4 linked regions of the Ovis aries genome follow. The protein of the gene in region 2 binds, or shares a complex with, the protein of the main gene of each other region. Links are inferred from orthologs where the notes say so. Each region holds a gene or a part of one and is shown on either strand. Other genes may lie near its edges.

Region 1 (4,527 bases), on a different chromosome or scaffold from region 2:
AAGTTTTAATTTTTTCTTATCTTAATTCAATTAAAAAAACAAACACAACCCCCCAAAACTTCAATTTGTAGAATTTGCTAGCAGTTCCGACAGTGAAGTCACTCAAGTTACAAACCATTATCATCCTTGATACCTATTCCACAGGTGGACTTTGCTAGTGTTTTCAAGTAAAAAAGAATATTCTCAGATGTCTGTTTTAAAGATTCTCTACATTTTCAAGCATCTATCATGACTAGGGTTTCTTCTGTAAGAACACAGAACATTAGCAGTTTAGCAGTTTTACTGTTCCATACACTGAAAAGTGGGTATACTGTCTTTGTAATTAAGGCAGCCTTGACTAAACACTTAGTCCACTTCAAAGCAATACAGGTAGGAAAGAAGTTATTTTGGGAAATGCTATGATTTAGATTCCAGATAAGAACATCTCTACGGAGAGATACATAATACAGCAACATTATTAATGGCTCTAAAAGCTCAAAAAAAAGCGAACAGTCTGAAATTCTTAGAATAGCAACCCTGCAGTCAAGGAACTTTAAGAATTGGGAGAAACTGTTTCCATAATGAACCCCCAGAAGAACATAAGCTCTGATGGCATTGGCTGTGCTTATCCTGTTCTCATCCTCAGCAGTTACACAACCCACAGGAAGAGCTCATACCTGTGGGAAAAAAACAACTGAAAAAGATTAGTCCTGCAGATGTACGTTGAAATCTAAGGAGACACAAACAGCTGACGTCTTTACCCCTTTCTATAGCAAGAGTTTTTTCAATACCATTGTTTGGATGTTAAAACACACATGCACCCCTAACCCTGACTTCAGTCCTAATTACAAAGAAAATCAAAACTCACATTTGCATCAATTTTTTTCACATTCCATTTGCTGATTCACTTCTATTTTATGGAACAGACTCTTTAGGAAGGTACTGAAGATTAATTTTAGACTTATTAAACTGGGGTTAGCAAATCGCTCTTCTAGTCTATGAATTATTACATAATCTGCTATATTAGCATATTTATGCAATTTTTGTCACCAGATCCTGAGTTACCTTAAATCCCACACATTCAGGCGGCGATCAGTACCACTTGAAGCCAGAATGGTTTCGTTATGTGGAGACCAGTGGACCTAGCAACACATATTTGAAAACATAAAGAATCATCCATTACTGGGTCTGTGGCTGTTGTTCTAATCCTAGATATTTTCCCATTTCATCTTCTGTACCCTTTGCTTGGCCTACAAGCCTTCACTCTTTGTGCTGTCCCTTCAGGTGCTCTTAAATGAAACATCTCTTCAGCCTTCCCCTGGGAGGGTCATATTCCTCAAGGGTAACTCTGCTAGGGCTCCCAATAAACTTAGCTCCCAAACCACCCCAGAAGCTTTTAACATTTCTTTTAACATGAAGTGTACCTTAGCCTATGCACATCTCTATTTTAAACCATATATAAGATTTCATTTAAAAAATTAATTTACTTATTTTTGGCTGTACTGCTCAGCTTCTGAGATCTCAGTTCCATGACCAGGGATTTAAACCAGGCCACAGCAATGACAGTGCTGAATCCTAACCACTAGACTACCAGGAAACTATCTTTACTTTTTAAACTGATCCTATTTTGCAAAGACTGTTCCTTTTACTTCTGAACTAACAATATCTAGAAATCTCCAAGTTATTTCTCACTAGTTTACTTACACAGTAGGCAAGGAGCTTTAAAAAAAAAAAAACAAACAAACACAGGGAATTCCCTGGTGGTCCAATGGTTAGCACTCTAGGCTTTCACTGCCAGGGTTCAATCCCTGGTTGGTGAACTAAGATCCCACAAGCCACATGGCATAGCCAAAAACAAAACAAAAACCCAATGTCCCAAGTCCACTATGTAAAAGAAAAAAATTTATAAACTTCTCTCTAGTAAAAAGTTACTAAAATCTGACAGAGACACCAGAAAACTGTCACATACCTGGAAAATTTCATCTTTATGAGATTCAAAGGTATGGAGTTTCAATTTTAAGTTACGCAGATCCCATAAAGCTACAGTCTGAAGAAAAATAAAATGAAAAGGAATTTGTTTCTGCACTTTACATAAGAATTTTAAAATATTGTAGTAACAAAGACAAGTAGGTTTGTAAACACCAAATATGCAAAAACTTAGAAACCTTATCCGCAGAGCCAGTTGCAAGAATGAACTCGCTGTAGGGATTGAAGGACAGGCAATTGACCTCGGCAGTGTGCGCATCAACCAGGTGGCTCGGCTTGGAGGTGGTGTTGGACCTAGTGTCCCATCTAAAACACAAAGGTACAAGGCACACAGCGCAAGAGCAGGCCACTCAACCCTGCCCCACCTCCCTCCCCAACACTTGTGCCCACATCAGCACCACTCCATGCCACTCCTCTCTCGCTAACTTGCCTTTCAGGGACACTAACCATGCAGAGTTGGCAACTTGGACTTCCAACCACTAGGTGATATGCTCTAAACCTGCACAGAACAAACTAGGGCTACCTCTGCTTTCTTGTTCATTACGTCCCTATCTGGATTACCAACTATTTCAAGCATGCACAAAATACTAGAGACTACTGTTTCATATCTATAACCTAGCCTAGTCAAATTCAGTATTTTGCTTTGTTTGCCTCAGATGCTAGTTTATGAGATAAAAAGCATTCCAGGTGCTTGAATGCAGCCCTGTAGCCATGCCTTGATGCACAATCACTCTCCTCCCTCAACTTCAAGGCAAGTTACCCTGATCCCCGATTTTGATACATACCACTGCCCCAAGCATGTTTCCTCATGTGCACGTACCTGTTTTTTTCTTTTTCTAAATAAAAAGTTGTGTTCAATCATACAGCACAGTAACTTTTACGTAAAAAGGCCATCCCTATTTATAGCTTCTCATGTCAATTATACCTCACTAAAGCTGTTTTTCTTTTTTTGAAGGCCAAGACACAATTTAAAAGCCACCACAATCACTGATGGTCATTCAGGACACCCATATAACAAAACCCCACTCAATTTTCCACCTTACATCATAAGTTTCTGATCATCAGCAACAGATCCAAACAAGGACTCATGCAGCAGGTGCCAGGCCACATCCTCTACAACAGCCGAGTGGCCGGTAAAAATTGCTTTAGCATCCACAATTTTGCCTTCCTTTGGTCCTGCATTAATATCCCACAGACAGACAGTCTGAAGAAGGAACAAAACAAGAGTCAGTTATGAGAGACTGAATTTAAATGCTAACACCTTATTTAAAACTCTTTATTAAAAACAAAGCTACTTACTATATGAAAATTTTTTAAAAAAGTGAAGTTTCATAAACAGCAAAGTGTACAGGTGTAGCTTCCACAATCTGAGATGCAGAGGGGAAGGAAAATACAGTGTAATGGGGACGGGAGGACAGCATGGTGGCAGGCAAGAAACATTCTGGTTTGAGTTTCCACCTACATACATTCAATCAAGTATCTAAAATTCACCTAGATTACACAACACGAGCCTGGGGTTCAATATCCACCAAACTGAAATGCATATCTTAAAACTTCATGCTGGGCTGGGAAACTGGGAATTAAAACTAAAACATGCTTCTTAAAAAGTGAAAGCTTTTGGACAGCTGTCACTTCACAGCAGAAACCACTACATACATCAGCAAGTGCCAACAGCTGAACAACCTAGAAACCCCTACAAGGCTACTGAAGAGACCACAGGGCCTGCCCAGACCTCAAAGGTTACAGATCCGCAGGCTTTGAGAGTTTGAGTCTTTTCTTAACATCTCGTCATAAAAATAGCTGAGAAGAGTCTGAAGTTTCTATGAAAAAATATTGCAAAGTATAGGGCAGTGATTGTCACCTCAATGGAGTAAGAGGTAATTCCATTAAGGTATATTCAAATTAATTCCACTGACACTAGTATCAGCTTCCTCTCTTCATCAATCATTTTATTATCTGAAAGGGTTTCTGTTACACAATACATGTGGCCCTTAGTCTCTGTTGATACTCACACATTTGGACGCAATTTACATGCATGGAAAAGGTGGAATGTGTCGAACTATTACCTGCTCCTCACCTCAGAAAGATCCTGGGAAAATTACCAAGATGCCTCGCATATGTGGAGCCCTTAGGAAACGTCAGCTATTAATTATGACTAGCAACTCCCAGCCTGGTGTCTTCAAAAAGTACTAGTAATTAAGTTCTTGAGTATAACCCATCCTCCCTGTGTGGGAGACTATCCTATGCCCACTCTGAGGGAAACAGAAGAAGGCTTTCTTTCAGAGACTCTGTTCTGATGACAGGGTAGAGGGGCATGGGGAGTGTTACATCCACTTTCCAGGGATGGCAAGAGTAACATCCTCACTGGCCTAATTTGGGTCAACAACCCGGCCTCTCCTCTTTTCCAGGCTATTTTCTTGCCATCACAGTGATTCTGTGAGCTACCCTACATAATGCCCTTCCAATTAATTCCTTTTCTGTTTAAATCAGTCAGCACCCTCTTTGCAGCCACCAAGGAAAATACAGGGTTGGCCAAAAAGTTCATTCAGGTTTTTTCATTAT
Region 2 (4,527 bases):
AGCAAGTAAGAAAAAGAACATTTTAGTCTTCCCTTAGGTGATAAGGAAGGAGGTGACCTTTGGCATTATTGGGAAAGTCTCACACAGGAAAAGGTGGAAAACTGAATAGTTAGCTGATTTTTATCTAGAGGTACATAGAGTTGTTGAGATAGAGCCAGGGTCAGCAAATTACAGCCTGTGGAACTGGTCACCTGGTTTTGTTTTTGTTTTTTTTTTTGTTTCAATTATTTATTCTTAATACCAGAAACATTTTGTATTAGGAAATAGCCGATTAACAATGTTGTGATAGTTTCAGGTGAACAGTGAAGAGACTCAGCCATGCACATTCACGTATCCATTCTCCCCCAAACTCTCACTCTCATCCAGGCTGGCACATAATGTTGAGCAGAGTTCCATGTGCTATACAAGGGTTTTTGTTGGTTATGCATTTTAAATACAGCAGTGAGTACATGATCTTCCCAAAGACCTTGACTATCCGTTCCCCCGGAAACCTGTTTTTATAGATAAATTTGGGGGATACAACCTATGCCTATTCATTTACATATTGGCTGTGGCTGCTTTCAGAAAACAGGTAAACAGTTGTGCAAACAGCAAAATAGTAATCAAAATTGAGTGGAAGGATTGGGTTTGTTTGATCACTTGGTATAGATTTTAGACCTAAAATCTTCATTGTTTCAACCCTGATGGTATAAAGAAAAACGGGAACTTCTTTGTCAAGAGCTTCAGCAGTTCTTTGGACATTATTGTGGTCATTGATGTGTTTCCTTTTCAAAAGCAAATTATATTTCTTAACTGGGATTTCTTAGGCTGATGAAAACTTTTACACTTGTGCGTGGACATATGATAGTAACACAAGCCATCCTCTGCTGGCTGTTGCTGGATCTAGAGGCATAATTAGGATAATTAATCCCATAACAATGCAGTGCATAAAGGTGGGTTTTCTTGTTAAATTGTCGATCTGCTTCTTTTGTATGCACGCCTGTAAAAACTTGCCATGTTGAATTTAAAACGGAGTCAGTTTCTGTGCAGTTTTTAATTTGGTTTGTACTTTGCCTGTTGCTTCCTTTAGACAAGTCTTTTGAGACCTTTGTCATATTTGGGTCATGCAAATTAAGGAATAAATGGGAAAATTTTATCATTTGCACTGTTTTCTATTAAAATCATTTCTGTTCTTTTGCTTTATCCTGAGAAGCTCTAAATGAACAATAACTAAAGAGTGAGCTCATTTTTCAAGAACCCCTAAATAGGAGTATGGAGTCAAGGATACTTTGTAAAGAATTAAAAAGTGAAGCCTTGGAAGTTGATACTAAAAGAAATTTTACAAATCACTTTAACTCTGGGGGCACATTAGAATCACCTGAGAATCTTTTAAATCCTTGCTGTGGCTCAGAATATCTGCAAATGGGACTTCAGTGTCATTTATTTTTCCTTCAAGCTGGGTGATTTTAATATGCAGCCAAGGCTGAGAACCACTACTTCAAGTGAAATTATTTTTCCATTCTTTGAAGATTAGTGAAAATGAATTTATTGATTTTTATATGAAAGTTGAAGTGTCTTAAATTTATTATAGCACTATGTTGGCCATGGAAATGCTATCAATGAGCTGAAATTCCACCCAAGAGATCCAAATCTTCTCCTGTCAGTAAGTAAAGGTAAGAGAAACAAATATTTCCTTGTATAGTTGTATTTATTTGGGAGTGAGTTGGGTTTTTTGTTTGTTTAGTTTTGTTTGACTTCGGGACAAACTAATCTAAGGGAAATTTCCAAATTTAAAACGAAGTAAGTTTTAGAAAAATTTTGGGCTACATTAGCATCCCCAAACCAAGAACTGGAGAATGGGACCATGAAGTACACTGTTCCTGTAAGATGTAGATAAGATAATTGACACTGAGGATTAGATGTATGTTACCCTTATTTACCATATTGCATTATGATTGTTCTAGAACTTTATCCTCAATTGAATTATCATACTAAACTGTACTAATTTTAATGGCAGGTCACTGAAGTTGCAACATTTTTAGTAGTTTGAAGGTAGTCTAGCAAATTTCTGATGCTTTCCAACCATGTAATAAGAAATAGTGTATCTGAAAATCCATGATGCTTTTTTTTGCCTCTCTCTATAATGCTTCTATTTTATAAAAGATTCCCTACAGGATTCCTTAAAATGCTAAGTTATCCAGTGTAAGCTCTTCTAAATGTTTTCCTTCCTTACAAAGAGAAAGCATTGTCTTGCTCTGTATGCCCATGTTGGCATTGTAAGTTTATTTTGGGTTCAGACAGGCCTCTGAATCATTCTTAAATTTCTGAGCTCTCTAAAGTGATTTGAGTTGTTCTTATTTCTACATTCTGTTTTTTATTGCCCTTTCTCTTTTCATTTCTACATTATTATTCTAGTCAAATGTATTCTTTTCTTAACAGCTATCACACCTATAACCTAACCCCCATATTAAAAGATATCCTCAAATTAAAACTCTTACATGAAAAATATTTCAATGTGATTTTTCAACTATCAAGGCTTGTTTGGAAATAGACACCTAAGAAGAGAGCTGACAACTTTTTCTCTTCTGTTAATAACAGTAACTGGGCTCAGATATTCTTTTACAGGTAACATAGACCATAATGCCTTACTTGTTCTTAATGTCACAGTTTCCTAATCTTGCTCTTCCCCCATTGTGTTAGAGCATTTTTCAAACAGCTTTTCAAAATGAACAGGAATTTTTCTGCAAGTAAAACTCTCAAGAAAGGGAAAGACAACTTATAGGAAAAAAAAAGATATGCAAAGTGTGTATCTAATAAGGGACTTAAATCAAGAGGTCATATAGTTCAGTAATAAAAAGACAACCAAATTAAAAGCAAACAAAGGCTTTAAAAGTAGACATCTTTTGAAAGAATAGGCAAGAATGTCCAATAAGCACATGGAAAAGCACTCATTGTTAATCACTGCTGCTGCTCCTAAGTCGCTTCAGTCGTGTCTCACACTGTGTGACCCCATAAACGGCAGCCCACCAGGCTACCCCGTCCCTGGGATTCTCCAGGCAAGAACACTGGAGTGGGTATTGTTAATCATTAGGGAAATGCAAATCAAAAATACAGTGAGATAACCACTTCACACCTACTAGGATGATTGCAGTGAAAAAGACAGTAAAATAGGGAACCCCTTCATCCATTGCTGGTAGGAATGTAAAATGTGTAAGCACATTGAAAAACAATCTGGCAGTTCCTTAAAAAGCTAAACATAGAATTACACTCCTAGGTACGTGTATCTTCAAGAGAAATGTAAATGTCTGCACAAAAACTTGGATGCAGATTGAAATCATTGCTACAAAAAGAAATCATTTTTGTAGCAATGTTTATTTCCACTACTAACAATATGTTGTATAATATGTTAATATTACACAGTATAGACATTGTTATATTTCAAACTCTGCTTGGTATTTATGAATATTGCTTTCTATTTATTTTGTTGCTGATGTTCAGTGGAAAATGAGATTGCTCAGATTACAGTTATAGAATTTTTGAAAGGTCCATAATACTCTAAATAATGTCCCAATATGTGTATGTTTCAATCATATTTTTAGATTTACTGTAGAGATCTTATAAATCTACTTGTCCTCTTCAATTTGTAAATGTGGGTATGGTAGAGGGAAAAACTAGTACCCTTGAAAGTTTGAACTCATACCTAGTTAAATCTACAAGTAATATAAATATTTTAAGTTCCTATACGATATGGATTCCTTCTTAGTCATTACTGTGAATGAGTTAAGTCCAAACTTTGGTAGTTTTTTCTTTAAAGAGATATTAAAAGTCCACAGTAAATGAATGATAAAAGTTTATGTTAATTTTTTTATGTCTGTACTAGATCATGCTTTACGATTATGGAATATCCAAACGGACACTCTGGTGGCAATATTTGGAGGTGTAGAAGGGCACAGAGATGAAGTTCTAAGTGCTGTAAGTTGAAAGCTACAGGGCAGTGACCTTCAGGTTACAAAGCTGTGAACAATCCCTATAAGAAAGCACGTAGTTTGTTTCATGTAGCTTGGCAGGCAGTTATTTCATTTACTGTGACAGATAAGGTTTTAACTTAAAGATGAAGAAATAAAGCAAGTAGGCTCTTGGTGTTTTATCTGTACTCTTGCACGTGTTTTACCAGCACCTGGATTCTCATGAAAGAATTCTGTGAACTTGTTCTTTTCCTTTTTTAATCTAAAATCACCAAGTTACCTTTTGTTGTTTCTCAGTTATTAAAGGAAAAGGTTAACCTACTTGGCAATTAAGAAATTTTTTCACCTTTTATTTGAAGTTGAAATATAAGTTACTCATTTCTAGGAGGTATTGTTCACACTGACTTTTAGATAACTTCCCTTTGATGGCATGGTGTTGTCTTTATGCTTTGTATTACAATCTGTTGATCTGTTGTAGTGATATTAAGTGTTTTTAGTTAAGTTTCAGATTTTGTGTTGTTTAGGTTTATTTACCTTCTCTGTGTAGCTTACTTATTTAGTAGTCTTACAGCTCTTCAGCTTT
Region 3 (4,527 bases), on a different chromosome or scaffold from region 2:
CATGCAGGGTCAATAAGTGCAGCCACAGGTGGGGCGGGGGAGGGGTGGCCACAGGCTGCAACCTGAGCGCAGTGCCCCAGTGGAACTTACCTTTCTTCAGCTGAATTTTCCGGCAGTGTGCAGCCCACAACCTGCAAGAGACGGTACAGCTCAGGGTTGTGGTCCTGGGAACTCTGCAGATTTGGGTAAATGATAGCATGACCTCCTCTGGGGGACTGGGATCCTCCCCAAATCCCTTCACAACAGGCCTGGACACGGGTCCACAGAAGCTGGAGCCCACTTTACCTGCAGCTGGCCTCTGGCTCAAGATTTAAACAAGAACACAGCCCACCCATAAACAAACATACATAAAAAACCAAAAACAGATGCAAGACCAAACCAAACCCTCTACATCTATTAAAATGCTACTGTTTCTCCATTTCTCCTCTCCCCTGCCCTCCCTCTCTTATAGGAGGTGGAGATGTGGGAGCGTTTCAGGATGGGGAGGTGGGAAGACTTCAGAAATCTGCTCTGAGTGAAGAAATTGAAAGGGAGATGCCACAGGGATTTCCTTCTATATCTGGAACCAGTGTCAGTTTTTTACGGAACAAAGCCAGATGGAGTATTGGCTGCAAAAAAAACACCTTCCAACCCTAAGCAAAGGTTAGCTAGAAGACAGTGTTATTATGCAACTTAGAGATACAAGTGCCAAAAACAGAACAACAAAACTCTGGTCAGAGTTGAGAAGTGAGCACAGTGGTAATAACAACCCAGCGAGAAGAAACGGCCTCAGGATGGAGCCACGAGGCCAGTTCACATCCTGCTGGCCGGGAGCTTAAAAATCAGTTATTTCATGGTCCACAGCACTGCGGGACAAGGGAAGGGCTGATTCAAGACACAGACTCGCAGGGAGCACTGAGGAGACTGGCCCTCCACTGGGTGATGCTGAACTGATGGGCAGTGGCTGCAAAGGGAGGCAGCAGCGAAGCCCTAGGGGAGGTCAGGGAACAGGGAACGGTCTGGCCACAGAAAGCCTTTGGTCCAAGCCTTGCCTGTGCTTTCTCTTCTTCTTCTGTGAGGGGTTCATAAGCTCATCTGTGGGCAGCTTCAGGATAAGTGACTCTTTGACTGCAAACTGGAAGACCTGGAAGAGAAATCCAACAGGACCTGTTACCTCTTGAGCTGAGGGGTCAGATAAGTGACGTAGCCAGGTGCTGGTTTCTGGAGAGCTTGTGGGCAGATGTCTGAGCGTCTTTAGCAGGCACAGACAGAGAAGCACCGGGACACCAGGTTGCTGTTTCTGAAGCTCTTTGTTTCTGGTTGTGTTTTTGGTCTTGATTTGTTTTTGGGTATGCCATGTGATGTGCAGGACCTTAGTTCCCTGTTCCCTGACGAGGGATTGAACCCATACCCCCGGCATTGGGAACAAGGAGTCTTAACCACTGCATCACCAGGGAAGTCCCTGAAGTTAATTCTTAAGTGTTTATCCTGACTGAGCACAGGTACGGTTTTTCTGGTCAGTCGCGTTCATCTACTGCTCTGCCTTCCAATCCAGAGGGAGTCAATTCTTACCAACAGTATCTGCTTCTTATCAGGAAGGGCAGTGTTGTATACCTTGTGTAACTGAGTGATGTGACCTGAAGTACCACCCGGCTAAGCGCTAGCTCCCTCTGCTGGCATAAAGATGTTAGAGCCTTGACTATTATTTTAGCAGGACAGCATTTCACGAAGGCCTGGTCCCTTTTAACATGCTGTTTCCCTTTGAACATTTGTTTCTTAGCTTTTTCTTTTCGGTTACAGGCCCTCTCGCAATTCCATGAAAACTGTGAATCTTATATTCAGGAAAATAACACACAAAAATTGCTTTGTACACAGTTTGCAGGCTTTTAGATCAAAAACCTGTGCCTTGGGGAGATAGGTATGAAATTAAAAAAAAAAAAGGAATAGGGGACACGCCTTTTTCAAGGCATGAGCCTGCTGTGTCTCCTTTTGCCTGGCAAAGCAATAAAGCTATTCATTTCTACTTCCTCCAAAACGGCCTCTCGTGCCTTCTGAGATGGCTCACACTCCATCTATGGTGTTTTCCCCTTGAGTAAACCTTCTTTCACTTAAAAAGAAAAGAAAGCAAAGGGCACTTCAGCTCATGGTTCTACTACTTGTTCTAAATAGAGAGTACATGCAGAAAAGATTGCAGACTCTTCTGGAAAGTGAGGAGCTAAGCGAGGAGGGCTCAAGCTCTGGTGTTCCTGTTTGGACCAGTTGGCCCCAATACCTGACTCCCTATCCCTGTGCTTCAGTTTGTCTGCTCCCTGTAGGCTTCTCCAGCCTCCAAAACATCAGAAGCTGCTATCAGATGGTGATTCTAGTGATGATGTAAGTGAGATGCACAAGGTCCAGACCCAGCCATTAGGGGTGGTAATTAGGAAATCTAATGATAGAACATTTGAAGAATAAACAACTGAGAAGACTGACTTGGGGGGTGGTGGCAGCTGCAGCTACAGAAGCAGGAGCAGGGGTGTGAGAAAAGAAGATCCCCAGAAGGACCCAGGAGTGCCTTCCAGGAAATGGGTCCACATTTAGAAAGAAACGGAGAAGGAAACAGCCACCCACTCCAGTATTCTTGCCTGGAGAATCCTGTGGACAGAGGAGCCTGGTGGGCTGCTGTCCATTGGGTTGCACAGAGTTGGACACAACTGAAGCGACTTAGCATGTATGCATGCATTAGAAAGAAAGGCAAGAACACCACTGCCACCACCAAAAAAAAAAAAGAAAAAACCTAAGAGAGGGTAGAAACATCCAGAAGAGTTAGATAGTGGCTAGAGACAGAAGTAAGGATTCAGCAAGGAGAGCAGATCCTAAGTATTGCTAGGCCTGGTATTTGCAGAAAGCCCCCCAAGTTTGGGGAATCCACCTCCTGGTCCAGAAGCACAGGCTCACGAAAGACTGAACCTAAGACAGCTTCTGTCCAGACAGGCAGCCTTACAAAGTGACCAAAGGGCTCCCGGGGCAAGGACTTGTTCCCGTCCCCTTCAGGCAGTACCTGCTTACACGTCTTAGTCCCCAGAAGTCTGGCTATTGAACAGAAGTTGTTGAAGTAGGTGCCATGAAAGACTCGAAAAAGAGATTCTTCAGCCCCAGTCCACTCCACAGGCTCTGAGGGTGCTTCCACTACACAGAGCTGAGGTGGGGCTGGACTCGCCTTCTGTTTCGTGGGCGTCTGACAGCGAGAGTTCGCCTCTAAGAGAGAAAGGAATGAGAGAAACACAGAAGGTGGAATGCAGCTGGCCTCAGTGGTTTGCTACAAACTCAGCACTTCATTCTACACCAAAAGGTAGAAGAATTAGGAACGAAAATATTCCCTGTCTCTACTGCTTACAGGTGAACCTGTGGAAAGAATGAACAATTTAAAAAGGTAGTAATGTTAACTGTTACGGCATGATCCCGGGTTTACCTTGTGTAGCAAGAAGAGGTCATTTTCTGCTCACTGTACCTGAAGAACTGGAGGCCCAGTCATTGCCAGTGTCCCTGTCACTGTCCCCTTCTTTGGTCTCAGCCACAGCAGAGGCTGAAGTGTTGGAGCAGGAAGCATTGACCACGTGGTGCCTTCGCCGGCGACGCCCGGAGCACTTGGAGCGAGGGTTGTGCAGCATGGCGTACTCCTTTGCTCCTTCCTGCAGAGGTCATGTTACAGTTAGGAAGCAGAAACAGGCCACCATATCGGTCCCATCATCACAAACCATCTGCAATATCTGTGCTGACTTGCAACTTGACACTTTTTTTTTTCCTCTGTACCATATATGACCATGTGATAGCTTCTTAACAAACATCTTAAAGCTTACACACTTATCTCTTGACAAAGAGCTGCCCTATAATACAATCTTTACAAAGATATAATCTTTATATATTATGCACAGATGTTTCTATGCATCTTTGACTGTCCAGTGAGTCGTATCTTATACTCATTTGCTCACAAGCTGACTGGAATTTGAGAATACATTCTCCTGTAGATGAGAAAATGAGGGATGTGCTGAGAGCATGCAGCTAATTATTCCAGAACAGGTACAAGAATCAGGGCCCTTCATCCCCAGGCCTCACTGTTCTTTATGTTTTACCACACTTGTCTCTGTTTCAGCAAGAAAATATATAATCCTTAAATTTGTATAATATTACCACTCAATTGGTCATGTATGGATGTGAGAGTTGGACTGTGAAGAAAGCTGAGCGTCAAAGAATTGATGCTTTTGAACTATGGTGTTGGAGAAGACTCTTGAGAGTCCCTTGGACTGCAAGGAGATCCAACCAGTCCATCCTAAAGGAGATCAGTCCTGGGTGTTCACTGGAAGGACTGAGGCTGAAGCTGAAACTGCAATACTTTGGCCACCTCATGCGAAGAGTTGACTCATTGGAAAAGACCCTGATGCTTGGAGGGACTGGGGACAGGAGGAGAAGGGGACAACAGAGGATGAGATGGATAGATAGCATCACTGACTCGATGGACATGAGTTTGAGTGAACTCCGGGAGTTGGTGATGGACAGGGAGGCCAGGCG
Region 4 (4,527 bases), on a different chromosome or scaffold from region 2:
ATAGAAGAAATACATAAAATGGGACCCGTGGTTGTCATGGACTGAATTATTATCCCCTCCCCAAATGCAGATGTCCTAACCCTCAGTAACTCAGGAGGTCCTGAGCAGGAGCGTCGGAGACAGAAGCAGGGAAAATGAGGCTGTAGGGTGGATTCTGGTCCCGTATGACTTACATCCTTTCAAAGACAAGAAGCGATTAAGACAGAAGCACTCACAGGAAAGGCCCCGTGAGCACCAAGGGGAAGTGGATGTCTACATGCCAAGGAGACGCCTCAGGGAGAACCAACCTGCTGACACCTTGACCCGGGACTCCCAGCCTCTACAACTATGAGAGAGACGTTTCTGCTGTTCACGGCAGCAGTCAGTAGTGCAGTACAGCAGCCCTGGCTAACTACAACAGCTACAGAGACCTGTGCGGGGAGCCACTGCCTGAAGGAGGCGGGAGGGGGCTGGGCTGGGTGTAGGAGCGTGAGGCGTGTAACTCAGCCCCCGGCTGGGTCAGACAAGCCCATCGTGGAGGCTGCGGGACAGCCGAGAGAGAAGGCAGAAGGGCTGGACTGCGCTGGTTTCCAGCCACGACCAGGGACGGAAAGCTGGGAATGGGAAGTGCTGCTTTACCAGACAGACTTCAGAGTCCTTGGGGCAACCAGAGCAACCGCGCAGCTGAACAGAAGCTTCAAGAGGCCAGGAAAGCTAAGGAGAGGCCAGGAAAGCCAGGGAGCCGCGTCCCCACAGTCAGCCCGCGGGGAGGCCAGGAAAGTGACTGGGGCAGCCGCATCCCCGCAGTCAGCCCGCGGGGAGGCCGGGCGGGGCACGCGCGTCCCGCAGTCAGCCCGCGGGGAGGCCGGGCGGGGCACGCGTGTCCCGCAGTCAGCCCGCGGGGAGGCCGGGCGGGGGCAGCCACGTCCCCGCAGTCAGCCCGCGGGGAGGCCGGGCGGGGGCAGCCGCATCCCCACAGTCAGCCAGCGGGGAGGCTGGGCGGGGCAGCCGCATCCCCACAGTCAGCCTGCGGGGAGGCCGGGCGGGGCACGCGCGGGGCTCACCATGGACAGATAGCACAGGTGCTGGCACACCTGGCATCGCCTCTCCGAGGTCTCCAGCTGCAGCCACTTCCGAGGCTTCTTCTTGCCGTCGGGCGCTGCGCTGCTGCCGTCGTGGCTGCCGTAGCGGGCGGAGGAGTGGAGGCCAGCCTCGAAGAGCTGCCGCCGCTGCCGCAGCTCCGTATCCCTGCCAGGACACCGGGGGTCAGCTGGCCCACAGGGGCTGGGGTCCTCAGTTGGGCACCCAAGTCAAAAGGCCAGACCTGCCCCAAGGCCTCTTGGACGGCCACACTCTGCCTGCTGTGACCACGGGGCACACGGCCAAGCGCCGAAGAGCCACCACCTGCAGCCTTCAGCCTCCGGCCGAGCCCCAGGAAGAGGAGGCCAGCGCTTCCCCACAAAGGACGGACCGCACCCTCACCATGCCTGGCTGAGCCTAGATGGGCCGGCCTAGAACTGTCTCGTGTTACCTGAGCTCGTCCAGAAGGGCTGAGATGGTACTGAGAGTGGAACCGTTTTCCTTTTTTGCTTCCGCTTGTGCGATCTGGTAGAGTAACTTCTCCATCGAGAATGGCTTAGCTATATGGCGACGCTTCATCTCCTGAAAGAGGCAGTCACATCCCTTCAGGGCAGGTTTTCATTTCTAGGCAGCTATCAAGGGTTTCCTTTATTGGGGAGGCGGTGCTATCTGAATTTTCAAATTCTGAATTCCATTTGGATGAAAAGCAACGCAAAAACCACACGATGATCTTGTCTCCCCCGAGGAAGACCGCAGACCCCAGGTCCTCCGCCAGCCAAAGGCAGGGTTCGCCTTTCACACCTCTGCAGCGACGGCCCAGGGCTGAGCTAGAGAACTCAGCAACTTACAGGAGGCTAGCCAGCCTGGAGCCACTCTCCCTCCCCAGACGAGCTTCTCAGCCGCCTTAGGCTGTATCTACAAACAAGACCCCCACTGGGGGACGCCGGGCCGCGTGCGGAGTGGCCACCTGCCTACCTTGGCCGTCTCGAAGCCCATGCTCGTCCACTGGGTGGTGGCGAAGTGCACGGTCTCGGAGACGCTGTAGCCACAGCAGACTTTGGACACGAAGGATCCCGGGAAGCAGACGACGAACTGGCCACTCTGCTGCACCGTCCTGTGCACCTTGATCCCCTCCCTGCACAGCACCTCCGGGGAGATCTGCGGAGACGTGGCGCTGAGCCACCCGCCTCCTGCCCCGCTTTCCGTGAGGACCGCCTGCGGCAGCGGCCCAGCACACCGGCCCTCCGGACGGGCGTCGGGGCTGAAGCCTGCTCCCCACCCGGAGTATGTCCTGTATTACAGATTCTCTGTTTCTCTTTTAGAAAATAAAAGAGACGTGACCCCTAAGTGAAGGAAGAGGAAGTTCTAAACTGATACAGGCCCAGGGGCAACGCCTGAGACAAGGGCACGGCAGCGGTGATCAGGGACCCTCACAAGCAGAGCCCTGGATCCCTGCCGCACGGCGGCTATGGGCTTGGGAGAGAAGACCCCGACAAGGGCCGCAGAGGCCAGAGAAGACCTGAGATCAGGCTGTCAGAACACAACAGGACTCAACAGGCTCTGAGAACTGGTCCAGCTGCCTCTGCTCTCAGCCCTCAGTGATCCTGCCCAGCGTGCAGGTGCCTGGCCCGACCCCAGTCGCCATTTACAAACCCACCAGGCCCGAAACGGAGTCAAAGGGCCCCACATCCTGGGCAATGAGAGGAGCATGCTTTAGTTGTGTTTCCATAAAAGAGTTTTTTTTTTTTTACGATGGCTCCCTGGATTGGTTGTTCACGGTCCTCTAGTTCTGCAGGGCAGGTCAGCCGAGGGGTGAGTAAATGAAACCGCCTCGCGGCCCCCACCCACGGCCCCCGCCGCCCTAGCCTGTGGCCCCGCCACCCCAGCCCGCGGCCCCTACCATGACGTTGCTCTCGAGCATCTGCAGGCCAGGGGTGCCGTTGGCTTGCAGCAGAGTGTGCACCACGTCCTCCAGCTTGTGTTCCTCCTCAGCAGGAATGCAATACCTGGGCGGTTTGGAATCAGGGCGGAGGCTGCTGACAAGGCCCCTCCCCAGGGAGCCCGCCCTCCGTACTCCCCCAGAAAGAGGGGCCCACAGCTGCCTGGAGACCGGCCTCAGCTGCAGGAAGGGAGGTGGGCATGTGCCCAGTGGCCCTGGGTCTCTCTGGGCAGCTCTGCCGCTTATGCCCCGTGACGAGCATGCCCACCTGCATGCGGGTCCAACCTATGCCCAAGCCATGCAGCCTTCAGACCAAAACCAGACATTTAAAGCCCCTATAAATCAGATCCAGACATGTCCGCAGCTTCAACAGCCTCTTGTGAGCCTCCAGAGCGGGCACTTATTGCTGGGCTGGCACCTGACCCTTCTCTCCAGCAGATGGAGGACAGGGCGGGACCAGGGCTCAGCGTGGAACCCACCCACACCAAGGGCCTCTACAAGGTGGAGGGAGCAGCCCCGCAGGGTGGGGCTCAGACAACACAGCCCCCGCTGACTGGGGCCAGAGCCCAGCGGGGCCGGTGGGAGAGGACGCGGCCTCAGCTCAGCTCGAAGAACCAGGACCCTCAGTGCAGGCCGGGGAGCAGGAGGGAGGCAGTGACCACTCGGGTCCCAGGAGGACCCCGGGGGACACACCTGTCGCCTACAGCGCTCGAGACGCTGGTGGCAGTGGTCTGCACAGAGGCAGGCTCCTCCTGGTCTCTTGCTCTGGGACTCCCAGCCCTGCCGTCCACGGGCTAGAGGGGACAGCTGACCACCCCCTGCCCTCCCCACAGCTACGTGCGGGGCTTCAGGCTGCCTGTCCCCACCTCCCCTAGGCTGGGCGGGGAGGGCACCCGTGATGAGCGGTCTACCGGGCGGGGGTCCTCACTACTACTAACCTAGTCAAGGTTCTTCGAGAGGCTTGTTGTCTCAACACCAACATATTCTATTGCTGATCTGACTTAAGTCCAGAGTTTCTAACCTCACTCACACGTTTTAAGAAAAACCACACCGTGAAGTCCTCTGATCCTTTCTGGCAACCTGTCCCTGCAGCACAGAGGTTCCAGAGCCTTACGTCCCCTGCCTCTCACTCAGCAGTCACTCAGCACGCAGGCCGCAGCCTCTCACCCTGTCTCCCTGCAGGGCCGAGGCCACGTGGCCCCACTTTCTGATGAAGGACCAGGGGCACAGGGCAGGGGGCTCACACCCCCTGAGTCTATGCAGCTCTTCGACCCTCCACGCTGCCTGAGACCCTGGCCCCACCACAGGAAACCCAGCAGAGGGCCTGCCTGCTCCGACACCGACGGCCCGTTGCCCCGAGGCAGCCCAAACGCAGGAGGAGCCGTGATGAGACTGTTGCCGACACCAGCTCCTTGGAGTAAGAACATCGGCTCTAGGACTTTAACAAAGGAGCTAATCACCCCACTAGGACAATAAACTGAGTAAGTGTGGGATGGATGCGATGCCGGTAGCCCATCAGACAACAAGAC

Evidence for each region.
Region 1: EED (region 2) and RBBP7 share a complex: the UniProt entries of both Homo sapiens proteins name them as parts of the PRC2/EED-EZH2 complex. The link is inferred for Ovis aries from reciprocal best matches to the Homo sapiens genes EED and RBBP7.
Region 3: the proteins of EED (region 2) and EZH1 are in contact, whole or in part, in a cryo-EM structure (PDB 7KTP), measured with the Homo sapiens proteins. The link is inferred for Ovis aries from reciprocal best matches to the Homo sapiens genes EED and EZH1. Residues at the interface, in NP_003788.2 of Homo sapiens: Cys84, Val85, Asn86, Ser87, Leu88, Lys89, Glu90, Asp91, Trp103, His104, Ser105, Lys106, Glu107, Val112, Arg120, Leu123, Tyr124, Gln129, Gly130, Glu131, Ile132, Arg133, Leu134, Leu135, Gln136, Ser137, Tyr138, Val139, Asp140, Tyr154; in NP_001982.2 of Homo sapiens: Gly37, Ala38, Lys39, Leu41, Tyr42, Val43, Asn45, Phe46, Lys48, Val49, Gln50, Lys52, Thr53, Gln54, Leu56, Asn57, Glu59, Trp60, Leu63, Arg64, Val65, Gln66, Pro67, Val68, Gln69, Ser70, Met71, Cys83, Thr84, Ile85.
Region 4: the proteins of EED (region 2) and JARID2 are in contact, whole or in part, in a cryo-EM structure (PDB 6C23), measured with the Homo sapiens proteins. The link is inferred for Ovis aries from reciprocal best matches to the Homo sapiens genes EED and JARID2. Residues at the interface, in NP_003788.2 of Homo sapiens: Pro95, Phe97, Tyr148, Arg306, Asn307, Tyr308, Cys324, Asp362, Ile363, Trp364, Tyr365, Arg414, Asp430; in NP_004964.2 of Homo sapiens: Pro109, Gln114, Arg115, Lys116, Phe117.

What each region holds. Positions count from the first base shown.
Region 1 is NC_056080.1:15,051,580-15,056,106, forward strand, and holds part of RBBP7 (histone-binding protein RBBP7), read right to left. Parts: intron 3,170-4,527; coding exon 3,009-3,169; intron 2,272-3,008; coding exon 2,145-2,271; intron 2,027-2,144; coding exon 1,949-2,026; intron 1,122-1,948; coding exon 1,045-1,121; intron 1-1,044. UniProt on the Homo sapiens protein: Core histone-binding subunit that may target chromatin remodeling factors, histone acetyltransferases and histone deacetylases to their histone substrates in a manner that is regulated by nucleosomal DNA.
Region 2 is NC_056074.1:8,802,325-8,806,851, reverse strand, and holds part of EED (polycomb protein EED), read left to right. Parts: intron 1-806; coding exon 807-932; intron 933-1,570; coding exon 1,571-1,652; intron 1,653-3,859; coding exon 3,860-3,951; intron 3,952-4,527. UniProt on the Homo sapiens protein: Polycomb group (PcG) protein. Component of the PRC2/EED-EZH2 complex, which methylates 'Lys-9' and 'Lys-27' of histone H3, leading to transcriptional repression of the affected target gene.
Region 3 is NC_056064.1:42,497,968-42,502,494, forward strand, and holds part of EZH1 (histone-lysine N-methyltransferase EZH1), read right to left. Parts: intron 3,651-4,527; coding exon 3,470-3,650; intron 3,217-3,469; coding exon 3,020-3,216; intron 1,124-3,019; coding exon 1,032-1,123; intron 132-1,031; coding exon 91-131; intron 1-90.
Region 4 is NC_056073.1:40,682,883-40,687,409, forward strand, and holds part of JARID2 (protein Jumonji), read right to left. Parts: intron 3,066-4,527; coding exon 2,960-3,065; intron 2,218-2,959; coding exon 2,035-2,217; intron 1,642-2,034; coding exon 1,511-1,641; intron 1,228-1,510; coding exon 1,044-1,227; intron 1-1,043.